Oryctolagus cuniculus: one gene and its partners. The protein of the gene in region 3 interacts with the protein of the main gene of each other region in a pairwise test. Links are inferred from orthologs where the notes say so. Each region holds a gene or a part of one and is shown on either strand. Other genes may lie near its edges.

Region 1 (7,984 bases), on a different chromosome or scaffold from region 3:
GCTTTTTTTTTTTTTTTTTTTAAGATTAATTTATTTGAGAGGCAGAGAGTAAGAGAATTACAGAGAGAAGGTTACAGAGAGGCGTCTGAGCAGGGAGCTGGATCCAAAGCAGAGCAGCCTATGGGTGCCAGCGTTGTAGGCAGCAGCTTAGCCAGCTGTGCCACAACACTGTCACCCCCGCACCCCCGTTGTTTTTGAGGTTCATTCATACTAGTAATAGCATGTACCAATAGTTAGCTTTTTTAATGACAACATAATATTTCATTATGTGGATATGCTAGATTTTATTTATGTAAGGAAATGGGAGACAGACCAGAGGAGACAAGATACGAAGTCAACGGCCAAAATCAATTAAGAAGAAAAATGGGAGCCAGCGCTGTGGCATAGCACGCTAAGCTGCCACCTGCGGTGCCTGCATCCCATATGGGTGCCGGTTCAAGTCTTGGCTGCTCCACTTCTGACCCAGCGCCCTGTTTCTGCTCCTGGGAAAGCAGCGGAAAATGGCTCAAGTGCTTGGGTCCCTGCACCCACATGGGAGGCCTGGAAGAAGTTCCTGGTTTCCATCTGGCCATTGTAGCCATTTGGGGAGTGAACCAGCAGATGGAAGATCTCTTTCTAACTCTGTCTTTCAAATACAATAAATAAATCATAAAGGAAAAAAAAAAAGACAAGTGAATTTGCAAAGATGGCCAACCACTGGCATGCGCACAGACAGAACACGTGGCCGAGAGAGCAGGAATTTATTTACGGGCTGGATTTAAATAGCATAGGCCTGATAAGGGCCATGAGGTGCAGTGGAGCTGAGCTAGCTTTTCTATGGAATGCAGAATGCAGAGGGTAGGGTGGGCAACAGTACAGGGCGTAGGACTGAGCTGGTCTCTTGAAGGAAGGTAAAGGGTCCCTCAGGCAAAGAGCCACAATGCCTGAGGCTCATGTCCTTGTTCTGTCAGTTATCCATTCATTTGTTGGCAGGCATTTGACAGGGTTCTATTTACTTTGTGATTCTGGTTTTTTATTTATTTATTTTTTTAATTTTATTTATCTGACAGATAGTTATAGACAGAGACAGAGAGAAAGGTTTTCCTTCCGTTGGTTCACCCCCCAAATGGCTGCTACGGCCGGCGCTGCGCCAGTCCGAAGGCAGGAGCCAGGTGCTTCTCCTGGTCTCCCATGGGGTGCAGGGCCCAAGCACTTGGGCCATCCTTCACTGCCTTCCCGGGCCACAGCAGAGAGCTGGCCTGGAAGAAGGGCAACTGGGACAGAATCTGGCGCCCCGACCGGGACTAGAACCCGGTGTGCCAGGCGCCGCAATGCAGAGGATTAGCCTATTGAGCCACAGCGCCGGCCTTTACTGTCGTTTTGAAAGACAGATAGCTCCCATGTGCTACTTCACTCCCTAAATATTGAAATGTCCAGGTATAGGCTACGCTGGAGCTGGGAGCTGAATCCAGGTTACCAGGTTATTGCCTTAAAGGTGGGCTTTAGATATTCTGGGTGCAGTTCCCCTTATCAGACACAGGGTGTGCAAGTGTTTTCTCCCATCCTTGGGTGTTTTTTTCCTTTCCCTATGTTATTGGTATTGACATACACTTTTTTTAGTTATTGTTTGACTACACCAAGTGAACTATTTTTTTAAAGATTTATTTATTTATTTGAAAGAGTTACGCAGTCACTCCCCAGTTGGCCACAACGACCAGAGCTGTGCCAATCCAAAACCAGGAGTCAGGAGCTTCTGCGTCTCCCACATGGGTGCAGGGGCCCAAGGACTTAAGCCATCTTCTATTGCTTTCCCAGGCCATAGCAGAGAGCCAGGTATGGAGTGGAGCAGCCGGGTCTCAAACTGGCGCCCATATGGGATGCCTGCACTGCAGGCCAGGGCGTTGACCCGCTGTGCCAAAGCACAGGCCCCAACATACACTTCTAATTTTGATGAAGCTCAATTTACTGGGTTTTGTTTTTTGTGTATGTGGGCTTTTTTTTTGTTTTTTTGTCATTTGTGCTTTTTTGACATCACATTTGACAAACTGTTGGGTAACCAAAGTTTCTAGATATTTATGCCCGGATTTACTTGTAAGAGGAGTTTAGCTCTTTAGGCCCGTGATCACTTTGAGTCAACTTTTGTGTACAGTGTGAAGTGTAGGGTTCTGATGCTTTTTCCCCTAGGGTGCAGGGGTTTCGCCCATACACAGTGTCAGTTGACGACTGAAGCTTCACTTGAACTTTTCTTCCGGTTTTCGTAGCCAGTTTGGGGCCGTTAGAAATGATACCCTGATGAACAGTGCTGTGTTTCTGTGTCGAGGAACTCAGCTTGGTCAGCGTGGTTGCAGATAGTTTCTGGGGCTGAGCCTCAGCCTGCCGCTGTTGCCTTGGGAAGGAGCAGCCCGTTAGCTGAGCAGTGGTGTGCAGGGTGCGGGGTCTGCGCTGCCCAGCCACACCTGGTCTACCCCACTGTCACAGGGATTGTGACTCAACCTTCGGAACATGGAATGTCACGAGGATTCTTGTACCTTACGGTTGTCATGTGTTGGTGTTCCAGCCCGTGGGATGAGTCCACAGTGAACGCACTGTCCTTTGCCTGGCCTTGTCTTCCAGGGCGCAGGCCTGCTCTGAGTCCTCAGGTGTATCCCCGCAGTGTGCCTTCCCTTCCTCCCAGCGGCAGATTTTGTCATGGAGAAAGCTTTTTTTTTTTTTTTTCTTTTTAAAGACTTGTTTGTTTGAAAGGTAGAGTTGTAACTCCGGTTTACTCCCAGATGGCCACAACAGCTGAGGCTGGGCCAGGCTGAAGCCAGGAGCTTCCTTCAGGTCTCCCTCATGAGGGGCAGGGGCCCAAGCAGTAGGGTCATCTTCCACTGCTTTTCCCAGGCCATTAGCAGGGAGCTAGCTCGGAAGTAGAGCTACTCCACGAACCAGTGCCCGTATTGGATGCTGGCATCATAGGCAACGCCCTATCCTGTTGTGCCACACCACCAGCCCCGAGAAAAGCTCCTAGAGGGGCTTCTGTTCCATCCCCCCAGCTTCTTATCTGCTCACTTTCACGATACCCCACCCCAGTGAGCAGTGTCAGCTGGTGGTAGGTAACCAGCAGGCGCTAGCCTGATGGGAGGAGCTGGTGCATGGCGTCATCACTTGGAGCTCTGCACATGGAGGTGTGCTGGAGACCTGCTCCCTCTTAGGGCTGGATGTGGGTACCCAGCCTCTGTCCACTTCTGCCAGTGTAGACTGTCAGCTGGTGAAGGGGAAACATCGTTCCTATCAGATTGTTTCTGTGTAGCAGGCCTCCATACCTAACGGCTAGACTACTCCACTACAACTGGACCATGTCTGTTGCGTTTCTTTTGACTTTGTAGGATCACTGTCACTTTCAACATCAACAATAGCATCCCACCAACCTTTGATGGTGAGGAGGAGTCCTCCCAAGGACAGAAGGCTGAGGAACAGGAGGTAAGCTCGTAATATCGTGCCCAGTCTGTGCCTCAGCTCCCCCAGGGGCCTAGAGAAACACCAGGTTTTCTTGTTTTTGTTTTCAAAGATTTATTTGAAAGCAGACTGACAGGGACAAAGATCTTCCATCCTCTGGTTTACTTCCCACATGGCTACAGCAGTCAGGGCTGGGCCAGGCTCAAGCCAGAAGCTCCATCCAGGACGTCACCCATGTGCCAGGCCCATTAGCAGATAGCTGGACCAGGAGTGGAGGAGCTAAGAGCCTGTGGACAGGAAGCAGAACTGAGTCCTTCCCATGACGGGGAGATGTGTGCTATCAGAAATCACCGTTTTCTTTTCCCCGGGGGAGGATGTTCCTAAGTCAGAAGCTGGTGGAAAGCACCAGTCACCTGGCCAGAGTAGGAAAGCCAGGGGCAGCAGAGATGGCATCACTTGGCCAGGTGCGATCTTGGCTTGCCGGCCGTATCGGTGGGAGCTGGGGGTGTCTGGTTTTCTGACATTTTAGGAAGTGGTATACTCAGCCCGGAAGCCCGCCAGTATGAAGGCCAGAGGGTCTCTGACCTTCTGACCGAGTTGTCTCACGCGCCTGCAAGGAGAGCCCAGCTCCCTGAGCGCTTCCATCTCAGCCGCCTGGACTGGCAGCTCCCTGACTTTGGGCTTGGTCTGCTCCTGTCACTGAGGGCCGGGCACGCCAGCCTCTGACCTGGGCTGTAACAGACTCCTGAGACAGCCAAGCCGGAAAGAGATCTTGGCTGTGTGGCTGGCTTTGCAGTGTGTGGGTGCAGAAATGGGTTCAGGAAGTAGAGAGATCTGAGTCTCAGTTGAGTGCATAGAGCTGGGGCTGGAATGCAGGTTTAAAGTGAGTGTAAAGGGCTAAATATCATCCTGACAGGGGTGGCCATCAGATGCTCAGAAGCGTTGGAGGCCTGGCCTGGGCTCTGACCCCTTCCTATAGTGGCACACGCAGACGTGTTTTTGTTTCCTCAGCCTGAACTGACATCAACTCCGAATTTCGTGGTTGAAGTTATAAAGAATGATGGCAAGAAAGCCCTCGTACTGGACTGTCACTTCCCGGAGGATGAGGTGGGTAGAACGGAGTGTGGGCCCTTGACACCCAGGGAGATGAGGGGTGCCTCCTGGGACTAGCAGACACCTGTGGGAGACTGTGGCTTAGAGCAGCAAAGCACGGGAGACAGGTGGCGCGTGGAAGTCAGCTCAGGGTAAAGCTGGGGTTTCACACTAGAAGTGCTCCCTTTTCCGTGCACCTGTCTGGCTTGTCCTGAAAAACCCGTGTTTCCTGGAACACTGTTCCTTCCCAGGTCGGACAAGAGGAGGAGGCTGAGAGTGACATTTTCTCCATCAGGGAAGTTAGCTTTCAGGCTTCCGGCGAGTCTGAGTGGAAGGACACCAACTACACACTCAACACAGACTCCCTGGACTGGGTGAGTGACAGGGTGGGGTGCTCTTGGGCCTTGTAGGGGAGCGTCCTGCCTTGTTCAAGGAGAGAAAGCAGCATTGTCATTAGTGGGCATTACACAGTGTAACACACTGTTTTCCGCAGGCCTTGTATGACCACCTGATGGATTTCCTGGCAGACCGAGGGGTGGACAACACTTTTGCAGATGAGCTGGTGGAGCTCAGCACCGCCCTGGAGCACCAGGAGTACATAACTTTCCTTGAGGACCTCAAAAGTTTTGTCAAGAGCCAGTAGAGTAGGGACAGTGAAACTTGTCTGGCAGGCTGTGGCCAGCGAACAGAACCTGCTCTGACCCCCAGACACCCGTGCGTTGCGACGGTTACCATCCCAATATCATGGAAAATAACATTTAAATTATTACTGTTGCACTCTCATTTTTTTCTGTACAAACTTATTCTAGATTTTTATATAACATACAATGATGGACAATAAATTTGGTTTTATCTCCTCCAAGGTACTTCGTTTTTTCTGTTCCTTGACTTTCAACCTAGACCACGAAACAGCAAGAGCAGAGGTGTTTGAAAAGTTTTAATACAAAATAAATTATAAGTTAAAGGTTGCTATGTACAAGGCCTCTGCTGGAGAGGGAGTGAGTTGTGGTCGGCCCAGGAGAACGGTGCGAATGCAGGCCAGCTCTAGACGATCACAGCCCAGGTGTCACAGGCCTGGAGTGAAACAGGACATATCTGTTAGGAAAGTTACCCACATCCGTGGCCAGAAGCTGCAACCAGTAATGACACTGAGGCAACAATTAGAATGTCTACACCCTGGACGGTGCTGGTCGGCTTCAGTTACAAGTGGGAATGAGTTCAGCCAGAGCGGCTGGTCCTCAAAGGGGCTGCTGGTGGACCGACCTCCCAGGCTTGCTGGAATGTCTACCTTTGACTGTTCATCCCTGGGAGCCTGATGAACCACTGTGCTTCCTCCTGTTTCTCACCTCCCCTCCAAAACGCCCAACAGTGGGCTCGCCCGTCCTGGAACCAGCTCTCGCTATGAAATCCATACCTCAAGTTTTCATAATACATGTTTCCCATGAACTTTCTGAAGACCCCTCGTGCACAGATTTTAGACATTTTTGTGCCAAAATAAAAATATTTTACTTCCATACCCTATGAACTTTCTGATCACCTTAATATATGTGTGTGTATATGTATATGTAATATATCACTTATAAGAAATAATGGTTCCTGTAGCAAGCTTAAGGCGTCTAAGACAGGTGGCTCCAGTACCTCCTTGTGTAGTCCTGTCCCTCACACCTGAGTTGCCAGACACTAATCCTTGGACTTCTGAAGACTTGCTGAAAGGTGGCCCTGCTGTGCGTCCTGTCCTGTACCCACCTGCAGGGGTGTCAGGGTGACCCACTGGGTCTTAGGACTACCGAGCTGACTACACAAGCACAGTGCAGGTGGGCTCCCTGACCCTCCCCCACCCCCACCCCCACACTCCTGCCCCACTCCTAGGCTGCCTCTTCCCCTTCACACAATGATTGGCCTCCAGCTGAAATGACTTGTGGCCTTCACAGTTCTGTGCCAGCAATTCCTCCAAGAAAAAAAAAACTGCATTAAACATTGACCTGTTTGGGAGCCATTATTTTTACTAGAGTGGGAAGACAACACTGAGCTGCTGGTAACCACTGGGTCCCAGGAGAGACTTACCAGACAGCTCATGAGAAGACTGGGCTTCTCCTCTGTTCCACCGGTGACTGAAAATTCAGGGGTGTGGGGACAATGGGTGCTGTGCTCATTCACGCTGTCCTCTAAAGACGCTCGAAGCATCTGCTCCGTCAGCTCTGGAGACTAAAAAAAGTTCGACCACAACCGCGTCTTAGTTACCTGACAGCTGACAGGCTGAAAATCCTGGTTTCTCTTGCTAACCAGCGTAGCACTGGCTCCCTGGGATGGCTTCCTCCCCCACAGTTGGAGATCTGCGTGGGCTCATGGCTGCTGGGAGGATCTCTGAACCAGTGTCCACTCACCACCTCTCCAGATTGCCCAGGGCACCCCCCGTTCCTGAACTTTGAGAGCTAGGAGGACAGGTCCCGGCCTCGGCCCCTGCCCCTCCTGGCCTGGTGTATCCTTGCCAAGAACTGGCAGCATTTGCTCCCAGAGATCTCACTGAACCTGCTGCCACTGCAACTCCGATGGCAACCAGTAATAAAGGGGATGGAAATCAAGTTTCAGTTTTATGATGAGAAGCAGAAAGTTCAGGAAGCACTCAAAAAGGGAAGTTGCTTTTGAAAAAGTTGGGTGGGCATTTGGTACATTGGTTAAGATGGGCCCATCCCATATTGGAGTGCCTGGTTCGGATCTGCTCCCACTCCAACTCCCTGCTAATTCACACTCTAAGAGGCAGCGGATGGTGGGGCACGTAGTTGGGATCCTGTCATGCACACGGGAGACCTGAACGTTCCCAGCTCCTGGCTTGGGCTGCTGGGAGTGAACCAGCAAATGGGGCTGGCTCGTGCTTGCTTGCCCGCTCTCCCTCCCTCTATACACACACACACACACACACACACACACACACATTCACACATTTATATACTTCTGCCAATCAATTTTTTTAAAAGCTGTTGAAATACATAAAAGATGGGAAAAAAGAAAAAAATCCTACAGTTGTATGACTAGTTGCTTTATCCATTGCTAACAAACAAGAGTTTTCTATGTAGAAACAATGACTCAGCTCCCCAGCACAGCCCCACTCAAAGACTGGTAAATAAACTTAAGAGGTGTCAAATTTACCGTGGTATGTTTCATTTTTATAATTTTCCACTGGAACCAACGGCTCAACTCACTGACTATTTGCAGTCCCCATGTCAGGTAAGAGACCACCTCCCCTATTTTTAAAGATCACCAAAACTTACATTCTGAATGGAAGTGTGTCTTCACACAGGAAATTTTAATGAAAGGTCACATACGGGCATTTCCAGTTCTAAACTGGGGTCTCTCTTAAGCAGTGCCAGCGCTCTAGGGGAGGAGCCCGTGGAGATCTGTGAGGTTTGCCAGTTTGCACACCATATGTACTCTCACCACATTCACCATATGTGTGTTGGACTGCCACCGTGACATC
Region 2 (7,329 bases), on a different chromosome or scaffold from region 3:
TTCAATTTCACTTGCATCATCTGTAGCACCGACTTGCTAGTATTCCAGGAAAATATCACTCACTTGGTCTCTGTGTTGCCCTGACCTTTTCCTCCATTCAGATCACTTCCTGATATTTTGGCATTTCCACTGGAGAAGTGACAAAGGTCAGACTTAGGTTCTTCTTTCTAGAACTTGTGGCCAGCTTGAGTGAAACAGTCTGTTGCGGGGAAGCCTGGGACTTCTGGATGCAAGCACATGTCTGGTGCTCCTGCCTGCGTCACTGTGCTCTCAGCTTGGCTTTCTGACTAAGGGGAGACACACACTGATCTGATCCTTCCAAACTCCCGACTTGTCTTCCAGTCCACAAAATAGGGAAGGCCCTTACTTCAGTGACTTCTTTTTCTTTAAGTTGAGGTTCTCGTTTATCGTAAGTTGATTCTCACACATTTCAACTCCTCCCTCCTACTCTCAGGTTTTTCTTAAAATAAACTGGAAAACTTCATGACTCTAGTTCATTCTGTTTTATTAATAGCCACTCATTCAAGATATCTTTTCTATAGAAGCAGTAACTTCTCAGTGAAAATGATTTCATAATATCTTCACCTATATAAACAGATTAAAAAAATACACAGGATTTAAGGGGATCAAATCAACTCAAATATGACAATATCTTAAAAACTACCATTCTAGAGCTATGAGGATTACACAAATTTATGCCTGTGGTGTAAGCTGCCTGGCACCTAGTAGGTGTTCAATAAATGGCAAATAGTTCTGCTCCACAAGGTGCAGACATTAAGTTGATCTGGACATGACCAGCAGAGGGCGCTCCCAGTACTATGAGGTTTGGTCAGCGGCCTTTTGGTCTTTAATCCAAAAGGCCTCTTAGATTTTCCTAGCAAGCCCTAAATCCATTAGACTAACATTTACTATATTATATTATCTCCCTTGATTACACAAGTAATTAAGCATGGTGGTGGCGTTTCTTAATGATAACTGATATTTAGAAATTTAATAGACGTGCAAGTAATTTTGGGTAGTGAAAAGTAAAATGCCAAGTTTTAAAGGTCACACAGGATGTGAAAGCACAAAATTCCCAAGACCTTTCCTCCAGCCTGTACGGTGGCAAGCAAGAGTAAAATGTATTAAACATCAAAATTATCAAAATATTTTATTTTGAAAAAAAAATTTAGTATCATGGTCTCAGACTGGCTTATCCAAATCCAATGACCACTAATAATCACGCTCTTTAGTTCATACACAATAACAGCCTACAAAGGCCAACCACTTCTGTCCTCTATTATTTTACTTCTATTCTATTTAATTCTAGTCTAGTATGAAGTTCAACACAGAGATAAATGTTCTTAGGGAGTAGTGTCACACTCCATGGCTGCAATTTCATAAATCTAGGTTGATCCTGACTCACTAGTGGACCTCAGAACTCTACAAAAACCGGGTCACTGTGAGCTTGATTCTAGGTTCAAGGTCTCTGCGAGGGATCTTTATTCCTTCTTCAAAATCCTACAAAAGCTCTACACAAGTCCTTTTAATAACTGCAGCAGAAAAATATAGCCCAACTGACATATTAGCAAGCATAACTTAGAGGAAAAGTTACTCTTTAATCCCTAATAATTATGATACACTTACTATTCACAATTCTTACACATGACATCACAATGAAATATGTATTATCATCATTCCAACTTTACAAATGGGGAATCTGAAACAAGGACACAAACATCACACTACCAAGAGTGGGAGGAAGGGTTCAAACTCATACCCTCAACTACCACCCTGTGCTTCTGTACAAAGGATCTTCAAAAAGTTCATGGATAATGTGTATTATTTTTTTTTTATTTAAGACCTTTATTAGCAGGTGCTTGCAGTTTGTTGACTTTTTTGAAAAAATCAAGTTGTAAACTTTTATTACAAATTAAAAATGAAGTTCTTAAAAATCTCAACTTGACCAGATATGAAACAATTTAAAAACCTTTAAAGGTGTATTGAGAAAAACCAGGCTTTTTTAAAAAACACGTTTGTCGTTACCAAAAAGAGACATCTTTAGGTAAAAATAATAAAAACCCCATGCTGCATAGATAATGCAGATAGTTCTAGTAATCTGGTCAATGGGCAAAAAGCAAGCACTTAAGGTCTTCAGCTCCAATCTTTTGTTCATTTCTTATTGCTGGAATTTCATATTCATTTCTTCTTGTTGGATGACTAAACCGGATGATGGTAGAGATGTTAAGCCGGCATTTACTCAGCCCCGCCCTGCTCAGCCTCGGGAGCGGACGAATTCTCAGCTGGTGGATCGGCTGCTTTTGTCTCTTTGCCATCTTGTGGTTTAGGGTTATCTGGGCGTCTGCGTCAGTAGTTGAAGTTGCGGCGGTACCAACGCTGAGGTGGCTGCTGACCCTGGGTCTCATCTCCTTGGTTTTCCTTGTCTTCTTCATTGCCGTCCTCTCTAGGCTGTCTTTGGCGAGGAGGACCTCTGCGGAATCGTGGTCTATAACCCCGATACATATTCTGTCTCACTGGTCTACCTTGTTCTCCTGCACCCTGGTTGTCAGCACCTTCCATCACTTCTCCCTGCACAGGAGGGTTGGAATACTGTGGTCGACGCCCATAGGGTCTCCGCATGTAGTAAGGTGGGAACCTTCGCCTGCGGTAGGGCCGGCGTTGTTGGGCCTGGCCTTCGGGAGCGCTCTCCGATCCCTCATTCTTTTCCCCACTCTCACTATTCTGGTAATTCTGCTGGTAATTGCGTGGAGGACCCCTACGACATGGGTAGCGTCTATAATGGTTACGGTCTGCTGCATATTTACTGCCTTGCACTGGAACTCCACCAGGACCTGTAACATTTGCTGCCTCCGCACCCTTTTCTCCTTCAACAACATCAAACTCCACAGTCTCTCCATCTCCTACACTGCGAAGGTACTTCCTGGGGTTATTCTTCTTTATGGCAGTCTGGTGTACAAATACATCTTCCTTGGTGTCATTCCTGTTGATGAAACCATATCCGTTTCTTACATTGAACCATTTTACTGTTCCCAAAACCTTCGTTGCGATGACCTTCTTGTCCCCGCCGGCGGGCGCCGCCAATGTGAGGCTGCCCAGGCCACCGCTCCCTGCGCCGCTGCCCGTGGTGCCGGGCTTGGTTTCCACGGCGCTGAGGGCGGGGGCGGCGGGCGGCTGCTGGGTCTCGGCCTCGCTGCTCATAGTTGCGGTGATGGTGACTGGGGCCGGCTGCGGCAGCTGAGGCTCCTCCCGGGGTGTGATGGTAACTAGGCCGGCGGTGGCGGTGGGGCTGCTCAGGGCTCTCTGGGGTCCGCTCTCCGCTCCCGCTACCGATCGAACTATGTGTATTATTTTTAAAAACATGCATTTCAAACATGTTTGTACCCAGATACTTCTCTTTAAATTCCACTTTCCATGAACTTTGAGGTTGCCTCATACAATGATTTATCTTTAGTGCTCTTCCATTTTAAGTATCAAAATATCAGCATTATTAATAATCCTACACAACATTAATTCTATTTCTAAATAATCTACTACTGTTTCAGCCTACTGTCGCTCCCCCTCTTCATGGAGGAACGACACTAAACCCTGCCTAGGCTTCATATCCGAGTCACGGCACCATTATGTCGCTCCCCGTCTTCGTGGAGGAACGACACTAGACCCTGCGCTGTTCTTTTGTCTGCTCGGCCCTCCCCGGGTTTGCTGCTGGTTCTTCCCAGGTTGGCTACCGTCCCTCCCACCTCCGTGGAAGGGCGGTTCCCCCTGCCACTTTCCCCACTTCCGCGGGGGAGCAGCACACCGCCAGCCGGCTCTCTCGGGGGCTGCACAGGTGTTCCTCTTAGATGTTCCTGGTGCATGTTGTCTCTCTCCTCCTTTATAGTCCTCTTCCACCAATCCCAACTCTGCTACCCACACGCCGAGTATGCTGCTCTCCTCCAATCAGGAGCAGGTCCTGCTGTTTATTGGTTGAACTGGAGGCAGCTGAGTAGAAGCTGTTTACTCCTCTCCCAGCGCCATATTGTGGGAGAGCAGATGCATAGAATAAGTCTTAATTCCAGTAACAGTCTAGTCTGAGTTGCTCCCCACAGATCCCCCTTTCTTTTTATTTTTTGGCGTTGATACGCGCCTGTCTTCGGTGCCCCGTGGCACACACTCTGCTCTGCTTGCTGGAGTTGCCCACAGGTTCTTACAAGTCCTATCAATCAGGCAAACCGAATCCGGGTCCTCTCTTCGCCATGTTGTGAGGTTTTTAGGCGCTGATGCGTGCCTGTGTTCGGTGCCCTGCAGCGCATGCTCTGCTCTGCTAGAACTGCCTGCAGGTGCTTACAAGCCCTACCAATCAGGCAAACCGAATCCAAGCCCTATCATCGCCGTCTTGTGGGGAGACTTATTGGTGTTGATAACGTGCCTGTCTTCGGTGACATGCAGCCGCTCACAGGTGCTTATCGTCTTACTAATCAGGCAGACCGAATCCAAGCTCTCTCATTGCCGTGTTGTGGGGAGGCCTTTCTATTTCTCTATCTCCAGGCATTCCTATTTCTCCTATTTTACTTCTATCTGCCAGCATTCCTATTTCTCTCATTTTACTTCTATACTTCTATTTCTCTTATCCCTGCGGCATCCCGGCGCCCGCCCCGAGGCTGCTTCTTGGCACCTTGCCCCGCAGCGGCTTCCCGGCTCTGTGCCACTTCCCGGCTTCGCGCATGCTCCGCGGTCTCCGCTCCCCTTCACACCCGTACCACAGCCTTGCGCTAGCCCCACGTTCCCTATCTATTCGTGCCCCGCACGCTCTCTCTGCGCGCGGCAGCTTCCGCAAATCACACAGCCTAGCTCACGTTTCCGCCACCGGTATTCAGTCTAAGTTCCCTGGGCTAACTTGGCGAATTCAACCTAGCTCACGTCTGCGCCTTTCGGTTTGGCTTCCCGTCTTTTGCTCCCCGGGCTAATCTGACGGATTCCAACCTGGCGGCCCACGTCTCTGCCTCTGGTTCCAGATTTTCGCCTTTTGCTCCCTGGGCTGACTTGAAGAATTCCAAGCTAGCTTACGTCTCCACCTCGGCCTGCCCCTGCGGCTTCATCCTCCCTAACATTTTTCTCTACCCGGTATGTTTCCTAACTTTTCTTCCAACAATATTCCCCTTTCATTTCTCCTGGCTTCTCCCCACAGTCCGTATCCAAGTTTGTTTGTTCTAGCTTTCACTTTCGCTTTCAACCTTAGAGATTTCTCCCAGCTTCCCCTCGTAGTCCGTATCCGAGTCTATGCCTAGGCTTTCAATAGCTTCTTCCGGCACCTTTTCCGTCCGGCTTTTCCCTAGGCTCTTCTAGTCTCTCTCTCCGGTATTTTCCCACTTCTTCCCATTTCTTCCCTCCTGGGTTTCCTATCCGAGTCACGGCACCATTATGTCGCTCCCCCCTTCATGGAGGAATGACACTAAACCCTGCCTAGGCTTCATATCCGAGTCACGGCACCATTATGTCGCTCCCCGTCTTCGTGGAGGAACGACACTAGACCCTGCACTGTTCTTTTGTCTGCTCGGCCCTCCCCGGGTTTGCTGCTGGTTCTTCCCAGGTTGGCTACCGTCCCTCCCACCTCCGTGGAAGGGCGGTTCCCCCTGCCACTTTCCCCACTTCCGCGGGGGAGTGGCACACCGCCGGCCGGCTCTCTCGGGGGCTGCACAGGTGTTCCTCTTAGATGTTCCTGGTGCATGTTGTCTCTCTCCTCCTTTATAGTCCTCTTCCACCAATCCCAACTCTGCTACCCACACGCTGAGCACGCTGCTCTCCTCCAATCAGGAGCAGCTCCTGCAGCTTGTCAAGTTGGTGAGTAGCAGCTGTGTAGAAGCTGTTTGCTCCTCTCCCAGCACCATATTGTGGGAGAGCAGATGTATAGAATAAGTCTTAATTCCAGTAACAGTATAGTCCGAGTTGCTCCCCACAGCCTACTACTAAAATGTAACATTAAATAAGGAAAGAAAATTCTCCACTTTTATGGTTTTCAATGAATCTCTTAGATTCATTTGAAAAGATATCACTATTGTTTAATACCATTTTAAACATCTTTAAAACAAGAACATTACAAAAATGTAAACAGAAAAGAAAAAAAGGCAAAACCTTCAGGGAAATCTACTTGTACTTGATGCTTGGTTTCAAAAGTTCTGGACTTGGTTTTGAAATTCTCAGGGAAGGAGGGTGAGAGGGAAGGAAGGACAGAAGGAAGAATGGATGGGCGAACTCAAGGAGATTAGGAAGACAGGAAGGTTAGAAAATTTGTGAGAAATGGTCTAGCCTTAAACCTCTGCTTGGGACTCCTGCATCTCATGTTGAAGTACCTGGGTTCAAGTGCCAGCTCTGTTTCCAATCCAGCTGTCTATCATGTACACTTGGGAGGCTACACACATGATGGCCTAAGTGCTTGAGTCACTTCCACCCACAGGAGATACGAAGATGGAGTTCCTGACTCCTGGCTTTGGGCAGGTCTAGTCATTCTACCTGTTGAGGGCAACTGGGAAGTGAACCACATGATGGAAGACCTCTCTCTCTCTCTCTTTCTCTCTTTTGCTCTCTGTCTACCCTGCCCCCCCAAACCTTTCAAATAAAATTAATCAATTAATTGATTAGTATAAAAATAGTGGGACAAATAAATCAGTGAGGAATCCATCACATTGTACTGACCAACAGAGGCCCACATTGAAATGCGGAGTTACAGATATCAAAGAACATTCCCCTATGCAAAGTTTAAAAGGTACAATAAGACATTGCAGAGACAATGACTGGCAGACACAGTGAAATTCTGGTGACTAAAGAAAACTTCTACAAGAAAACCAAGAATGGAATCAGGGCAAGGTAGACCTGGAAAGGTTTCACAAATGGATGGGTCCACTCTAAATGATCTTTCATACAGTATGCTATTTTAAAAGGACACGTCTAAAACATTTCTCATAAGGATTCATTTAAGAGGAATCTGAAAACTACATCTACAGTCTGTTTCTGAATATTTTTCTTGTATTACAGTATTTCATGCAGATTGTTTATTTTATATATTTATTTGTATTTGAAAGGCAAACAATGATCTCCCATCTGTAGTTCACTCTTCCCAATGCTCACAACAGCTGGGGCTGAGCCAGTCTGAAGCCAGGAGCTAGAAAATCCATCAATGTCTCTCACATGGGTGACAGGGACCCAACTACTTGAGCCATCACCTGTTGCCTCCCAGGGTACACATAAGCAGGAAGTTGGAATCTGGAGTGGAACTGAGAATTAAACCCAGGCTGTCCAATATGGGATACGCACCAAGTGGTATCCTAACCACTAAACCAAATGCACACACCATCA
Region 3 (7,452 bases):
GTCTCATTTGCTCACAATGACGACTTGGATAAATAAGGACACAGCGCCTTCCCAGAACAGCACTTATGGGGAAGTCTGTCATTGTGGGTGCTGACTGCACAAAATACCCATGTGTTAAAAACAGCACGACTTATAATAATTCTCACTCAAAATCTAGAGATATGTTAAAATATAATAAGCATATATGTAAACATATACTATATAAGAAAACCTGTCGGGGGCCGGCACTGTGGTGCAGTGGGTTAAGCTGTTGCTTGTGACACTGGCACCCCATATCAGAGTGCCCGTCTGAGTCCACTTCTGATCCGATTCCCTGCTAATGCACCTGAGAAAGCAGCAGAAGACGGCCCACTGCTCAGGCCCCTGCACCCACGTGGGAGAGCAGGATGGGGTTCCAGGCTCCTGGCTTCAGCCTGGTCCAGCCATCTGGGGAGTGAACCGGCAGATGGAAGACCTCTCTCGGTCTCTCCCTCACTCTCTGTCGCTCTGCCTTTCAAACTAATAAACATACCTTAAACAACAACAACAAAAACCAACGAAACATGTCAATGAGCTTGGATGAGAATCTCCCAAGTGCTGTAAAGGTAACCATTCCTACAGCTTTTTTTTTTTAACTTCAGGAAATGGCATAAAATTTCCAGGAGCATATCAACATCCTTGGGTCCTGTGTTTACTGCAGGTTTCATGTTTAACTCTTACGCCCCCTTCAAACTTTCAGAGTAAAACAAAATACATGGGTTAGGCGGACGGGCCCTGAAGCTGCAACTGAAAGGACCACGCCGGAGCACTGGCCCTGGGGTGGAAGGATCAACACAGAAGAGTGAGGGACACAGCAGCAAGCCACTGCCTCCTCCGGGAAACAGCTGGCCATCAGCATGCACCAACAGGACGTGGGGGTGAGGGCTGCCTCCGGCCTCCCGCCGGCACGAGGACCAGGGCAGTGGGATGCAGGAGAAGTCAGTCTGCGGCTTAGGTTCCTCCCCCAGCTCTGGGGGCCCCAGGGCTCATCTCATGAGGCTGCTGCCAAGGCTACAAAGTTCCATGCGGTCAACACGGACGGCTCCAGTGCTGCTGTCTCGGGGTGCCCAGAACACAGAAAGTAGGTGACCCTCAGAGCTGGCCTATGTTGCTACAAGAACAATCCCTGGATACATCCTCCAGTGCTGTAAGGTTAGCAAGGACCAAACTCGTGAGCTGGATGAAGGCCAAGTTCAATGACTCAGCTAAGGTGGCTGCTTCAGATGTTCCGAGAGCCCTGAGCCGGGGAGCGAATGTGATGCGGACCAAGGAAGGGCTGCACGCTGCACATCCTGCCAGCTCTTTCACGTCAGCCAGCAACCAGAACGAAGCAAGAAGGCACACAGGTGAGGGCCAGGCCCCACGCGCTGCCAGATCTGTCACAGCCCTCACACAGCTCCCCAGAGGGGGCTCTGGCTTCCTCACCGACAGAAAGCCGGTCCAGTGAATTGGCTCCGGAGTCACCAGCCGGGCCTCCAAGGGCTCAGATTGACCAGAACGGATGGGTGGCAGGGGACACTGTCACAAATGACCCTCAAATGAAAGTGGAGACACAGACAAACCCACATCGATGCATTCCTGACGAAAACCAGTAAATGGCCCCCACAGGCAGGAGGCGTGTGCTGTCACCACCACCTCCGTGGTGACTGGCCGTAAGCTATGACTGCGTAGTACCAATCCCAAATTCTGTAATTTAAATCTCTCGGTGAACCCCTATGGCACATAACTTAAACACAATGTGCTATTTGCCCTGAAACGTCTCCTTTCAGAACTTGAGGCATCTGGTCCGGGGCGGGTGTTGTGGCGCAGAGGGCTGAGACGCTGCTTGAAATGCCCGCATCCCGTTAGAGAGCTGGTCGGACCCAGCTCCCTGAAACTGTGCCTGCGAAGGCAGCAGCACATGGCACAAGGACCTGGACCCCGTCACTCCCGTACGGGAGACCCAGATGGGGCTTCAGGCGCCTGGCCCAGCCCCACGTTGCGGGCATCTGGGGAGTGCATCGATGGCTGGGAGACCAATCTGTTTCTTCCCTTCATCTCACTCACTCTGTCTTTCTGTTGCTCTACCATTCGAGTAGACACACACAAAAAATCAACATTAGGAAAAAAAAGGACCCAAAGCCTCCCCTGAGGACTGAACATGCCCGGCGAGGAAGAACAGAGGAGAAGAGGCCGTCACACACGGGAGCTGCCTGGGCCCCGCTCGCAGCAGAGCCGGCTGCTGAGCAAGCTGACTGTGCCGGCTGCCGCTACCTGCTGTAGCTTCTGCTGGGAGGCACGGGGCGCAAAGCTGCCGAAACAGCGTGAAAAGGGCAACACGGAGCCCAGAGCTGCCACTGCCAATGAAGTGCTCTTACCGAGAACCACAGCGGAAAGTCACCTAATTACGAAAATGAAGAGCAGTTATCCTTTGAAAAGCATCACACAGGAAGGAGTCTTAACTCTCCCTTGAGATAAAAATGAAACACAATGAGCACACAGTATTTGCCGTCTCAGCGCAGCCCCAGGGTGAGCAAAAATGCACCTCCTTTTCTTGATAGACAGTAAACACAAAGTAAAATTAGACACACATCACCTCTGAGCACTCCTAAGTAGAAAGGAGAATGCTGACTACTAATGTTGCATACTAGAATGGAAGCGGACAGGCCCATTTTGTGTCTAACCGAGCAAGAGTCCAGGCCCCTCTACGGATGAGACGCAGACTTACATCATCTCTGTATTTTGACTTGTGAATCACCACTGCTTTGGAAGGGACAGTGGATTCTGGCTTCCGGATGTTAAACTCGGGCTTTGGTCTGGTCTGTTCTTGAAGATTCTTCCACTCATCTAAGGTCATCTCTTGAACTTGAGTTTCTTCTTCTACCTCCAACTCAGGAACTCTATAAGATGAATAGTCATAAAAAATAATTTTGACAGGGCTGAAAGGTCTACTTCATCAAAGACAGAGTTATTACCAAGAGCTGAGCACACTTTTGTGGTGGTGTATCTCAAATGTAAATAAGGTAAGAAAATACTTGAATCATAAGCTCCTGTATGCTAATTCCGTCATTTTATGCTATCATTTCCAACCAAAGATACTTCCTGCGTTCAAAGCGGTCTATGAGAAATGGGAACATCACCATCCAAATGACATTACCGTTACACTTCCCTACCAGTGCTCCCTTCCAGATGGCACTGCAGACAAAATGAGTAATTGTGGAAGAAAATAGTAGAAGCTATTGAAATAAACTGTAGGAAACCATGAATGGAAGTTTTAAAACAGTGGCTCACAAATGTATATTTTTGTAAGTATCCTTTTTAAGTTAATCAGTTTTAAAAACAGAAAGCTGACATATGGATCGATAGAAAAGATTCAGAATCCAGAAATAAACTCTCACATCTGTGGTCAACTGATTTACTTATACCAGGTTGCCAAAGGCAATTAATTCAGAGAAAGAAACAGTGACAAGCAGTGCTGGGATAACTGGATATCCACATGTACAAAAATGAAGCTGGACCCCTACCTCACACCATAAACACAAGAGCTACCAGTATAATATCTTGACATAAAACATAGGCATAGGGGTCAGAGTTGTGGTGTAGTGGGTAAAGCCACTGCCTACAATGCCGGCTACCCAAATGGTTGCCAGCTTGAATCCCAGCTGCTCCACTTCCCATCCATCAGCGGAGGACGGTCCAAGTCCTTGGGCCCCTGAACCCATGTGGGAGATCCAGAAAAAGCTCCTGGCTTCTGGCTTCAGTCTGGCCAAGCCCTGGCTGTTGTGGTCATCTGGGGAATGAACCAGCAGATAGAAGATTTCTCTCTATCTCTTGCCTGTTCCTCTCGCTCTGTAACTCTGCCTTTCAAATAAACAAATCTTAAAAAACAAAACAAAACAAAACAAAAAAAACCTTCGTAAGAGTAGATTAGCAATGGTTTATTCCATATGACATCAAAAGCATAGGTAAAAAAAGAAAAAGCAGATAAACTGGACATCATTAAAATTAAAAACTCTGGTGCTACCAAGGATGCCTCAAGAAAGTGAAAACACAGCTCAGAGAAAGGATAAAATACTTCCAATCAGAGATCACCCGGAATTCATAGCGAGTTTTTTCTATGTTGAGATAAATGACTCAACTAAAATGAGGCAACAATCTGAACATTTTCCCAAAGAAGATGTACAAGTACCGGGTAAGACGTGCTACATCTGGAGCCATCAGAAGTGAACATCAAAACCACCATGAGCTACAGCACTCCACAACAGAACACTTAACAAGTCCTGTCGGGGATGTGGGGAAATCGGAGCCCGTACGCCTCACGGGTGGGATGTAAAATGGTGTGGTCAGCGGGGAGAACAGCCTGGCAGTGTTCTAAGAATCTAGAGTCAGTACCCCACGCAGCAATTTCACGCTAGGAAAACATACATGCACATGAAAACTGGGACACAAATTGTCATAGAGTATTATAGGTGAAAGCAACCTAAATGTCCATCAATTGATGAATGGATACACTAAATAGGGTATTCTGGAATGGACCTTGAATACCTGATGCCAAGTGAGATAAGCCAGGCACAACAATACTTCTGCCTGATTCCATATAGATGCCATGTTCAGAAGGGGCAAATTCAGAGAGACCAAGAGCAGATCGGGGGCATAAGGGGCTAGGGGAGCGGGGCAGGGGGAGGGCCTGGTTTCCTTGTGACAAAAGCATTCTGGGACGGGATCATGGTGATGGCTGCAAACCACTGTGAATGTGCTCAAAGCCACCGAATCACAAACTTTAAAAGGATTAAAATTGTAAACTTTTTAAGTATTTTACCAGCCCACAAAAATCAGGCAAAAAAGAAAAGTACGGGCACACACCACATCATATATAAACCTCAAACATTATGTTAAATAAGAAAAACAATTAAAAGACTCCTCTAATGTAAACAGGAGGTACCTCTAGAATAAGCAACTTCACAAAAACCAAGTAGAACAGAGGCCACATGGGCTAAGGGGAGGTGATGTGGAAGTCCGTGTTTAATGGGTAGAGCTTCCATTTGGGGTGGTAAGTTCTAGAGGTGGCTATACATAACGTGAATGTAATTCATGCTAGCAAATTGTATATTTTAAAATTGTACAAATGGGGCTGGCGTTAAGCTACTACTGCAACACCAGCATCCTGTATGAGTGCTAGTTAGAGTTCGCACTGCTTCACATAGGATCCAGCTCCCGGCTAATGAGCCTGGGAGAGCAGCAGCAGATGGCCCAAGTACCTGGGCCCTTGCCACCCACGTGGGAGACCTGGATGGAGCTCCAGGCTGCTGTCCTCAGCCTGGCCCAGCAGTCGCTGTGGCCACGTGAACGAACCAGCAGATGGACAACCTCTCTCTGCGTCTCTCGGTCTTTCTCTGTAACTCTTTCAAATAAATAAACCTTTTTTTTTAAAAGGGTACACATAGCGATTTTTATATTATTTACATTACCATAATTTTAAAAAATTGATGTAATATCCTCAAACCATGGAATTGTATACTTTAAATGTCTGGGTCATAGAATATGAGAATAATAAAGTCGTTTAAAAGAGAAAAACAGCAAGTAGGGAATGGGGAGGTCATTACAAACATACCTTCACTGCAGGGCTAACGTAATTTAAGGATTTATAGATATCTATACAGGTTAATAACATGAGAAACACAGCAAAAAGAAGGCAGAAGTTAATCACAGAACATCCAAAATAGACACATTTGCACAACATTAAAATACCTGGTGCTAAGAAGGAAAAGAAAGCAGTGGCTGCCCTGAGGAGCAAAGAGGGGCTTCCTGCCAACTGGCAGTGCTCTGTACACCGACAAGCATGGCATGAGTCAGCACAGCTGTGCACCCAGCACTGGGCATTCACACTGCAGTGTCTGTGTATACTAACAGTGCGGCATGAGTCAGCACAGCTGTGCACTCGGCATTGGGCGTTCACACTGCAGTATCTGCACACTAACAGTGCGGCATGAGTCAGCACAGCTGTGCACTCGGCACTGGGCGTTCACACTGCACTGTGTGCACACTAACAGTGCGGCATGAGTCAGCACAGCTGTGCACCCGGCACTGGGCGTTCACACTGCACTGTGTGCACACTAACAGTGCGGCATGAGTCAGCACAGCTGTGCACCCGGCACTGGGCGTTCACACTGCACTGTGTGCACACTAACAGTGCGGCATGAGTCAGCACAGCTGTGCACCCGGCACTGGGCGTTCACACTGCACTGTGTGCACACTAACAGTGCGGCATGAGTCAGCACAGCTGTGCACCCGGCACTGGGCGTTCACACTGCACTGTGTGCACACTAACAGTGCGGCATGAGTCAGCACAGCTGTGCACCCGGCACTGGGCGTTCACACTGCACTGTGTGCACACTAACAGTGCGGCATGAGTCAGCACAGCTGTGCACCCGGCACTGGGCGTTCACACTGCACTGTGTGCACACTAACAGTGCGGCATGAGTCAGCACAGCTGTGCACCCGGCACTGGGCGTTCACACTGCACTGTGTGCACACTAACAGTGCGGCATGAGTCAGCACAGCTGTGCACCCGGCACTGGGCGTTCACACTGCACTGTGTGCACACTAACAGTGCGGCATGAGTCAGCACAGCTGTGCACCCGGCACTGGACATTCACACTGCAGTGTGTGCACACTAACAGTGCGGCATGAGTCAGCACAGCTGTGCACCCGGCACTAGACATTCACACTGCAGTGTCTGTGTATACTAACAAGTGTGGCTTGCTTTCCCAGGCCATAGCAGAGAGCTCGATGGAAGAGGGCCAGCTGGGTCCCGAACCAGCACCCACACGGATGGCACTACTTCAGGCCAGAGCGTTAACCTGCTATTGCACAGCAGTGGCCCCTATATGTATTTTTTAAAAAAATTCCAACATACATCAGGAAAACACAGGAATAGAAGCTATTTTAAAATACCATATTTTTCAGACTTAACTTGGGAAACATGTTCATATTTTACTTAATTATAAAAGGACTGAGTTAAAATTCAATCTCTGAAATTTGAAAGTAAAATAAATCAAATTCACCCAAATATCAAGTTGGCGACATGACCATGAAGAGAAACTATCTCAAATGATTTTAAATACAAACTGGATTACCGTCTCCCTCTAGGTAACTGTGCAGTGGTCATGTTACTGACGGCATTGTTGGCAATGTCACTTGTGACCTGTATGCATGTAGTCAATGAGTAATTGTGTGATGTCGCTGAGAATTAGGTTTTCAGAATGGTAGAAAAGGAGAAACAAATCTAAGAAAGTTTAGATAAAAATCCGCACCTTGGGGTCAGCACCATGGTGTAGCGGGTAGAGCCGCTGCTTGCGGTACCAGCATCGCATATGGGCGCCGGTTCGAGTTCCAGCTGCTACTTCCCATCCAGCTCTCTGCTGTGGCCTGGAAAGCAGTGGAAGATGACCCAAG
Region 4 (7,452 bases), on a different chromosome or scaffold from region 3:
TTGAGCAGTTGTTTTTTTCTTTTTTTTCCACATTAAAATCATAATTCAAGGGGCTCATCCTACAGTAGTAGCTCCCAGTCATCCTGGTCTCTTGATATGGAACTTACAGCTCCGGAAATATGAGAACACAAATTTTGATGAAACAAAACAAAACAAAAAAAGAACTTAAACTCCTTCCGCGTTGCCAAGTCACCAGACGGAAAGGGTGGTGCTTGCTCCATGCCATCAGTAGGCGGAGATACCCTTAGGCGAGCCTTGTGTGGGACGTGCCGTACAGTTAACTCTTGTGTCATTTCACGCTCTAATGATTATCTGCAGAGCCTTTTTAAACATCTCCTAGTCTCTGTTTCAGAAAGTATTTGTACGGAGCAGCTATATTGTGGTACGTGGCAGAGGGGGCCACAGAAGCAAGTTCATCTCGCCGGTCGCGCTACGTGGCGCCGCCATCTTGAGCAGAGAGGAATCATGAGCGCCGCCCTCTTGAACAGAGGTGAATTATGGGCCACGCCATCTTGCGCGAATGTGAGGATATTTCCGCTTCCGGCAAGGGGCTGTTCTCTCTTTTCCTCGGCAGGGCCGCGGCGGGAGTGGCAGCGCTGCTGGGCTCTCTGTGCTATCCGGTGCCATCCTCGTCGCTGCGGCGACACTCGCACCCGCTGCCGCCATGACTGAGCAGATGACCCTTCGTGGCACCCTCAAGGGCCACAATGGCTGGGTTACCCAAATCGCTACCACCCCGCAGTTCCCGGACATGATACTGTCCGCCTCTCGAGGTTAGTACCCGGTTGTGTGTGTCGCGGGGTTAGACTGGGAACGTGTTATATGACGGATCATAGATCCCTCTGCGTGTTGGGGAGTGCGGACCCGAGTCTCTGTCTCATCCCGGGGGGCCCACGTTGCAGATAAGACCTGGAGGTGTTGTCAGCTCGTGGCTGCCAGATTTGTTGGAGGTTGGCTGGCAGCTAAAGCTGAATGTGCCCAGGAGCCTACAAGGCCGGGCGGGGCGGTGATGAGCCCAACATGCCATCTGAGTATCCATGCAGAAATCCAGAGGCTGTTTCTGAGCTGCCGCCCGGCTCTTAGTTCGCTGGGTAGTGGGTGGACTGCAGGGAACCTTGTGGCTCAGATTTCCGATCTACATTTTCTTTCTGCGAATATCCACCCCATTTTCTCTCCATGTAGACCTTATCGAGTTTGGAGGCGTGTTCTTAACAGCTTAAAAATCGTCGAAAGTTAGGAATAATAATTAGAAATGGTCAGGAGCCCTCAGATACAATGGTACTTGTATCGGTTTGTAGGAGGAGAAATTTTAAGAGGGGGGCGCTAAAATGACTTAGTTAATTTTTCCACAGCTTTCTCAAGCATTCTGGCAAGATACAAAATATATGTTGAATTAGTTTGAATCTCAAGAAGGGGTAACCGTATTCTCTGACACCTGGGTTAGATTTTCGTGCTACAGTTTAGGCCCACCTGCCTGTTTTTTGGAACTGTTGGCCACTGGGCCCTGGCAAATAACCTACAGTTTGTTTCCTCTCGAAGTGTCTTTTTAAGTGTTAACCTACATATGATTTTGTAACATCTTAAATTTTCAATAGGGTCAGCAAGTGGGCTGCAAAGTTCCTCACCAGTTTCCCTTTTGTCTTTCTTTAGACAAGACCATCATCATGTGGAAGCTGACTAGGGATGAGACCAACTATGGCATCCCGCAGCGAGCTCTTCGGGGTCACTCCCACTTCGTTAGTGATGTGGTCATATCTTCAGATGGCCAGTTTGCCCTCTCAGGGTCCTGGGACGGAACCCTTCGCCTCTGGGATCTCACAACGCAAGTAGCTGCTCACCTAGCTGTGGGATCTTGGGGAAAAGCTGGGAAGAAATGAGGTAGATGGCAATTGGGAGGTTATCTTCCAGGAGAAAGTTGAAGTATAAAGTAAAAACTACCTACAGAAGATAGTTATTCGGGCCCCCTCTTAATTTTTTTTTTTCTAAGATTTATTTATTTGAGAGAGTTAGAGACAGTGAGAGGGAGGGACAAAGAAAGGTCTTTCTTCCATTGGTTCAGCCCCCAAATGGCTGCAGTGGTCAGAGCTGCGCCTGTCCAAAGCCAGGAGCTTCTTCCTGGTCTCCCATGTGGGTGCAGGGGTCCAAGCACTTGGACCATCTTCTGTGGCTTTCCCTGGCCACAGCAAAGAGCTGGATTGCAAGAGGATACCCTGGGACTAGAACCAGTGCCCACATGGGATGCTGGCAGTGTGTCACAGCACTGGCCCCTCAGGGGGCCCTTTGATTTAATTATGGTTGCTGAGAAGTAGTCTGGTTGAATTTTTGAGAAAGGTGTTCCTTTTTCCATTGGTCACCCCCCAAGTGGCCACTGCAGCTGGTGCACTGTGCCAATTGGAAGCCAGGAGCCAGGTGCTTCCTTCTGGTCTCCCATGGGGGTGCAGGGCCCAAGGACCTGGGCCATCCTCCACTGCCTTCCCGGGCCACAGCAGAGAGCTGGACTGGAAGAGGAGCAACCAGGACAGAATGCAGCGCCCCAACCGCGACTAGAACCCGTGGCGCCAGCCTGGTTGAATGTTTTTATAGGTGTAGCAATTTGGAGTAGACAGCGGTTGGAACAAGTTTTATCTTGAATTTCTGTTCTAGATAAGCAGTTGGCAAGTATAATGGAGGATCCTGGTGATGACAGATGACATTGTCAGCCAATCCCCATGTGGGAGTGAGGACATGTCCTGCAATTCTGAAGGGATTCTCTGACATAAACTCGGAAAAGACTTGTTAGTGATGCAGTCCACCGGGATGGGGCGAATGCCAGAAAAATGTTGGTAAAGTTTGTCTAGAGTGACAGAGCTGTCTTTCTCAGGGGCACCACCACAAGACGATTTGTAGGCCATACCAAGGATGTACTGAGTGTTGCCTTCTCCTCTGATAACCGTCAGATTGTCTCTGGATCTCGAGATAAAACCATCAAGTTATGGAATACTCTGGGTGTATGCAAATACACTGTCCAGGTAAAGTGAAGGCAGCAAACACATGTTCAAGGTTCCCATGCACCCTTTCTTTTAACCTTTGCCTTATGTGTTGACTAAAGAGATTCTGTTCTTCATGGTTCAGTTAGGAGATGTGAACACAGTACTGCCAATATCCATTCCACCGAGATCAGGGATGGAGTTCTATAGTTTAAGATAGAAATGTTTTCTCTTACTTCCTTTCCATTCTCTGCAGGATGAGAGCCATTCAGAGTGGGTATCTTGTGTCCGCTTCTCGCCCAACAGCAGCAATCCTATCATTGTCTCCTGTGGCTGGGACAAGCTAGTCAAGGTGAGTTTTGAGCTGGCATAGAGGGCTTGTACAAGCCAGAACCCCTTAGGCATTGTGGATTCCTTCAATTGACTTTTCCTCTTGTTGGATTTACTCAGTACAGACCATTGGTTTTTGACAGTTGGTCTTAAATAGCTAATTGATATCCCTTAAAAGCTTTTAAACAAGGTGCCAAGCCTTTTGCTGGGCTTGACTCTTCTCAGTCCTGGCTGATACGAGCTAAATTGTTCACCTGTAACCCCACCCATTTACACAGGTATGGAATCTGGCTAACTGCAAGCTGAAGACTAACCATATTGGCCACACTGGCTATCTGAACACTGTGACAGTGTCTCCAGATGGATCCCTTTGTGCTTCTGGAGGCAAGGTATTTGGGGGCCAGGAGTCTCAACCAGGGGGACAGTCTCATAGAAAGAATACCTTGGGGCCGGCGCCGTGGCTCAGTAAGCTAATCCTCCGCCTTGTGGCCCCGGTCGGGGCTCGGGATTCTGTCCCAGTTGCCTCTTCCAGGCCAGCTCTCTGCTCTGGCCCGGGAGTGCAGTGGAGGATGGCCCAAGTGCTTGGGCCCTGCACCCCATGGGAGACCAGGAGAAGCACCTGGCTCCTGGCTTCAGATCAGCGCCATGCACTGGCCATTGGAGGGTGAACCAACGGCAAAAGGAAGACCTTTCTGTCTGTTTCTCTCTCTCTCACTGTCCACTCTGCCTGTCAAAAAAAAAAAAAAAAAAAAGAATACCTTGGGTCTTCGACATAAACTATAAACTAAGTATTAGCCAGGTTATTCAAGAGTATGTTTCCAAAGGTCACTTACTGAAAATTACATGGGTGAGACATACTGTTCAAAGGAAAAAAAAAAATGTTTTCTCTGTAAAGTTTCTTGAAGCAATTGATGGATCCTGTTTGGAAATGATCATAGTGATTTTTTTGATAACCCATCAGAAAGTTTATGGGGCTATTGATGTCCTCTGTTAAAGGAAAAGCCTGTAGATATAAATATTGGTAGAGTCAGTAGCTTTCAAGAAAGCCAGGGTACTGAAGGATCTGATGGGCAAGAGAGTTTTGTGGCACGGCCCATTAAGCTGCTGCTTTGAGATGCCCACATCTCATATTGGAGTACCTAGTTCAAGTCTCAGCTACCTTCTGAGACACATCCTGGGAGGCAGCAGATAATGGTTCAAGTAGTTACATCCCTGCCATCCATGTGGGAGCCCTGTCATGTTCCTGGCCTTTGGCCTGACCTAGCTACAATTGTTAGTAGTATTTGGGGAGTGAACCAGCAAATAGAAGATCTATCTATTCTCCTCTCCATCATTCTGCCTTTCAGATGACTAAAATCTTTAAAAGCACATTGATGACAAAATCCTGAGGTGGGTGGGATTGACATCTGGGAGAGGTTACATTGTGCTGCTGACTCACCTTCCCTATCTGCAGGACGGGCAGGCCATGCTATGGGATCTCAATGAAGGCAAACACCTTTATACTTTGGATGGAGGAGACATCATCAATGCTCTGTGCTTTAGCCCCAACCGCTACTGGCTCTGTGCTGCCACAGGCCCTAGCATCAAGATCTGGGTAAGCATGAGATCGAATCCTGGCAATGTGACTTAACATGCCATATGGGTTTGATGCTGGGAGTCCCACATACTAAACAAATGCTAACCATCAAGCTGTTGGTGGAGACCTAGAAAAGTTCCCTGGATTGGGATTATTAATGGAGGGGAATATTTGCTTACTGAAAGGGGTGATTATGTATGGCAGAATACGCAGCCTCTGCATAATGGCTTTTTGGTCTGTGTAATTGTGTAGTGGGTCTGTTTAGTGTTAGCATCCCTGACATCTATCCACAAGATGTTGGTAACAGGCCATGTAACCTCTTCCATACCTAGTAGTTGCAACTGAAAATGCTTGTAGGCAATGCCACATGTCCCCTTGGGCAAAATCATCCTGTTGAGACTCTATTTATAAAAAGGGGCTTTTGAGAGGGGACCTCTGTTACTGAGTTTCTTAAAAAGTATCACTGGTATAAATGTATTAACAGTATCCTCACCCTGGTTTTGACCTATTTCTCAGGACTTAGAAGGCAAGATCATTGTAGATGAACTGAAGCAAGAAGTTATTAGTACCAGCAGCAAGGCAGAGCCACCCCAGTGTACATCTTTGGCCTGGTCTGCTGATGGCCAGGTAAGTCTGACTTCTCACTTAACTCACCTTCCAACATTTCTTCTCTATACTGCTATTTTTGACATAAAGGAAAGTGATTTTTTTAAAATGGCTTGGATGATCAAGAAAGAAATGTGGAATGCATGTTCCTTTCAACTGTGATGTGGAGGTAGTGATTAGCCTTCATTTTTATGCACTGATACTAATTTGATCAGTTTTAAGATGATTGTATTCTTATCAACAGCTGTTTCTTCCTCTAAGAATAACAGCCACCAGCTACAGTCTGGTCATTAGAATTAAGGTCCTTTAAAGAAAAGCCCTCTTTGTTGCAGTGGGACGAAGTTCACAACTCATCCTGTCATTTCTCCCTTGCAGACCCTGTTTGCTGGCTACACAGACAACCTGGTGCGAGTGTGGCAGGTGACCATCGGCACCCGCTAAGCATTTTTGGCATGACTATGACAATAAATTGACTTTGACTTATGTAGCAATTGTGTTTTTCTGAGAAACAGAAATGTTCCATGTTAGATTGGTTTGTCATTTCTCCAAAAGGTTTTTAAAAAATTTGAAAGGCAGAGTTAGAGAACAAGGTCTTGCATTCCACTAGTTCACTCTCCAGTAACCAGGTCCCAGGGGCTTTATCCAGGTTTCCCACGTGGGTGCAGGGCCTCAAGGAATTTGGTCGTCTGCTGCTGCTTTCTCAGGCACATTAGTGATGTGCTGGATCGGAAATGGAGCATACAGGACACAAGCTGGTGACTCCAATCTGGACTCTTCAAGATTTCTTTGAAAGGTAGACAGGGATACCTCCTATTTGGTGTGGGTGGCAAAATCAGTACTTAAGCCATCATCAGTTGCTTTCTCAGGTGAACCGCCAGGCAGAGTGGTGGGGCCGGCGCTGTGGCACAGCGGGTTAATGCCCTTGCCTGAAGCACTGGCATCTCATGGACACCAGTTCTAGTCCTGGCTGCTGCTCTTCCAATCCAGCTCTCTGCTATGGCCTGAGATAGTAATGGAAGATGGCCCAAGTCTTTGGGCCCCTGCACCCACGTGGGAGACAGGAAGAAGTTTATGGCTCCTGGTTTTGGATCTGCGCAGCTCCAGCTGCTGCAGCCATCTGGGGAGTGAACCAGTGGATGGAAGACCTCTCTGTCTCTACCTTTCTCTGTAACTCTTTAAATAAATGAAATAATTCTTAAGAAAAAAAGAACTGGAGTGGCACATGAACCAGCATTTTAATAAGGGGTGCTGGCATTACTTTTTCTGTAAAGATTATTTGACTTAGCAGGTGGAAGAAAACCACTTCTGAGTGTCTGCTCATTTGAAGGAATAAGACTCCACAAAAGAAGCAAATAAACATTTTATTTCTGCAACACAAACAACCTTCCCTTTCCCCAAGAACATGAATTGACCTCAGCCTTCCAAGCAGAGGACAAAAGCTGATAAGTGACAGAAGGCAAGGTGTTATTAGAAAAATAGATTATACCCAAGGCTCTCCTCCCAGGGATTTGAACCCCTTGTCCCCATCCCTGGCTCCATGTTAGGGCTTGCCAAAAAGGGAACTAAAAGGCAGAGAGAAGTTGGAAACTAACAGATGCAATTCCAGTGAACAAAGGGGAAAGTCTGGCAGTAAGTAGACCTGGAAGGGCAGGATGGTCCTAGATTCGAGTGCTAAAAAAGGAAGAGGGAGAAAATAACTTACTGGGTTATAAAATGGTATGTAGTTTCAATTGTATCAACCATTCCAGATCTGTCGCCAAAGCTAAGTTCTGGTTGGTTTGTGGAGGTAGAAAATGGGGATGGAAGGAAAATAGAATCCCTCCAACTTCCCCAGGAGAGTGGGTATTTCTATACCCAGCTCTACCCTTTTGCCCAGCCTGCCTCCCCAAAACAGCTTCCAAATCCTTTAGCTAAACTTTGCACCAGAAAATGGGAGTTCAATGGGGATGCTGCAAGTCTTGCCCAAGCCCTCCA

Evidence for each region.
Region 1: the proteins of HABP4 (region 3) and C1QBP interact in a two-hybrid assay, tested with the Homo sapiens proteins (2 studies listed by BioGRID and IntAct). The link is inferred for Oryctolagus cuniculus from reciprocal best matches to the Homo sapiens genes HABP4 and C1QBP.
Region 2: the proteins of HABP4 (region 3) and Y-box-binding protein 1 interact in a two-hybrid assay, tested with the Homo sapiens proteins (2 studies listed by BioGRID and IntAct). The link is inferred for Oryctolagus cuniculus from reciprocal best matches to the Homo sapiens genes HABP4 and YBX1.
Region 4: the proteins of HABP4 (region 3) and RACK1 interact in a two-hybrid assay, tested with the Homo sapiens proteins (2 studies listed by BioGRID). The link is inferred for Oryctolagus cuniculus from reciprocal best matches to the Homo sapiens genes HABP4 and RACK1.

Annotation. Positions count from the first base shown.
Region 1 is NC_091448.1:50,898,621-50,906,604, forward strand, and holds the end of C1QBP (complement component 1 Q subcomponent-binding protein, mitochondrial), read left to right. Parts: intron 1-3,347; coding exon 3,348-3,441; intron 3,442-4,428; coding exon 4,429-4,524; intron 4,525-4,760; coding exon 4,761-4,883; intron 4,884-5,002; coding exon 5,003-5,152; 3' UTR 5,153-5,371; downstream 5,372-7,984. Other genes in the region: RPAIN (RPA-interacting protein), read right to left, coding at 5,554-5,583, 6,574-6,714.
Region 2 is NC_091434.1:59,355,679-59,363,007, forward strand, and holds Y-box-binding protein 1, read right to left. Parts: upstream 3,376-7,329; 5' UTR 3,361-3,375; coding exon 2,347-3,360; 3' UTR 1,825-2,346; downstream 1-1,824. UniProt on the Homo sapiens protein: DNA- and RNA-binding protein involved in various processes, such as translational repression, RNA stabilization, mRNA splicing, DNA repair and transcription regulation.
Region 3 is NC_091432.1:141,253,608-141,261,059, forward strand, and holds part of HABP4 (intracellular hyaluronan-binding protein 4), read right to left. Parts: intron 2,898-7,452; coding exon 2,726-2,897; intron 1-2,725. UniProt on the Homo sapiens protein: Ribosome-binding protein that promotes ribosome hibernation, a process during which ribosomes are stabilized in an inactive state and preserved from proteasomal degradation.
Region 4 is NC_091445.1:34,929,143-34,936,594, reverse strand, and holds the end of RACK1 (small ribosomal subunit protein RACK1), read left to right. Parts: intron 1-207; exon of another isoform or gene 208-352; 5' UTR 353-664; coding exon 665-773; intron 774-1,000; exon of another isoform or gene 1,001-1,068; intron 1,069-1,650; coding exon 1,651-1,822; intron 1,823-2,669; exon of another isoform or gene 2,670-2,748; intron 2,749-2,860; coding exon 2,861-3,008; intron 3,009-3,222; coding exon 3,223-3,318; intron 3,319-3,574; coding exon 3,575-3,685; intron 3,686-4,749; coding exon 4,750-4,890; intron 4,891-5,388; coding exon 5,389-5,499; intron 5,500-5,853; coding exon 5,854-5,919; 3' UTR 5,920-5,965; downstream 5,966-7,452. UniProt on the Homo sapiens protein: Scaffolding protein involved in the recruitment, assembly and/or regulation of a variety of signaling molecules. Interacts with a wide variety of proteins and plays a role in many cellular processes.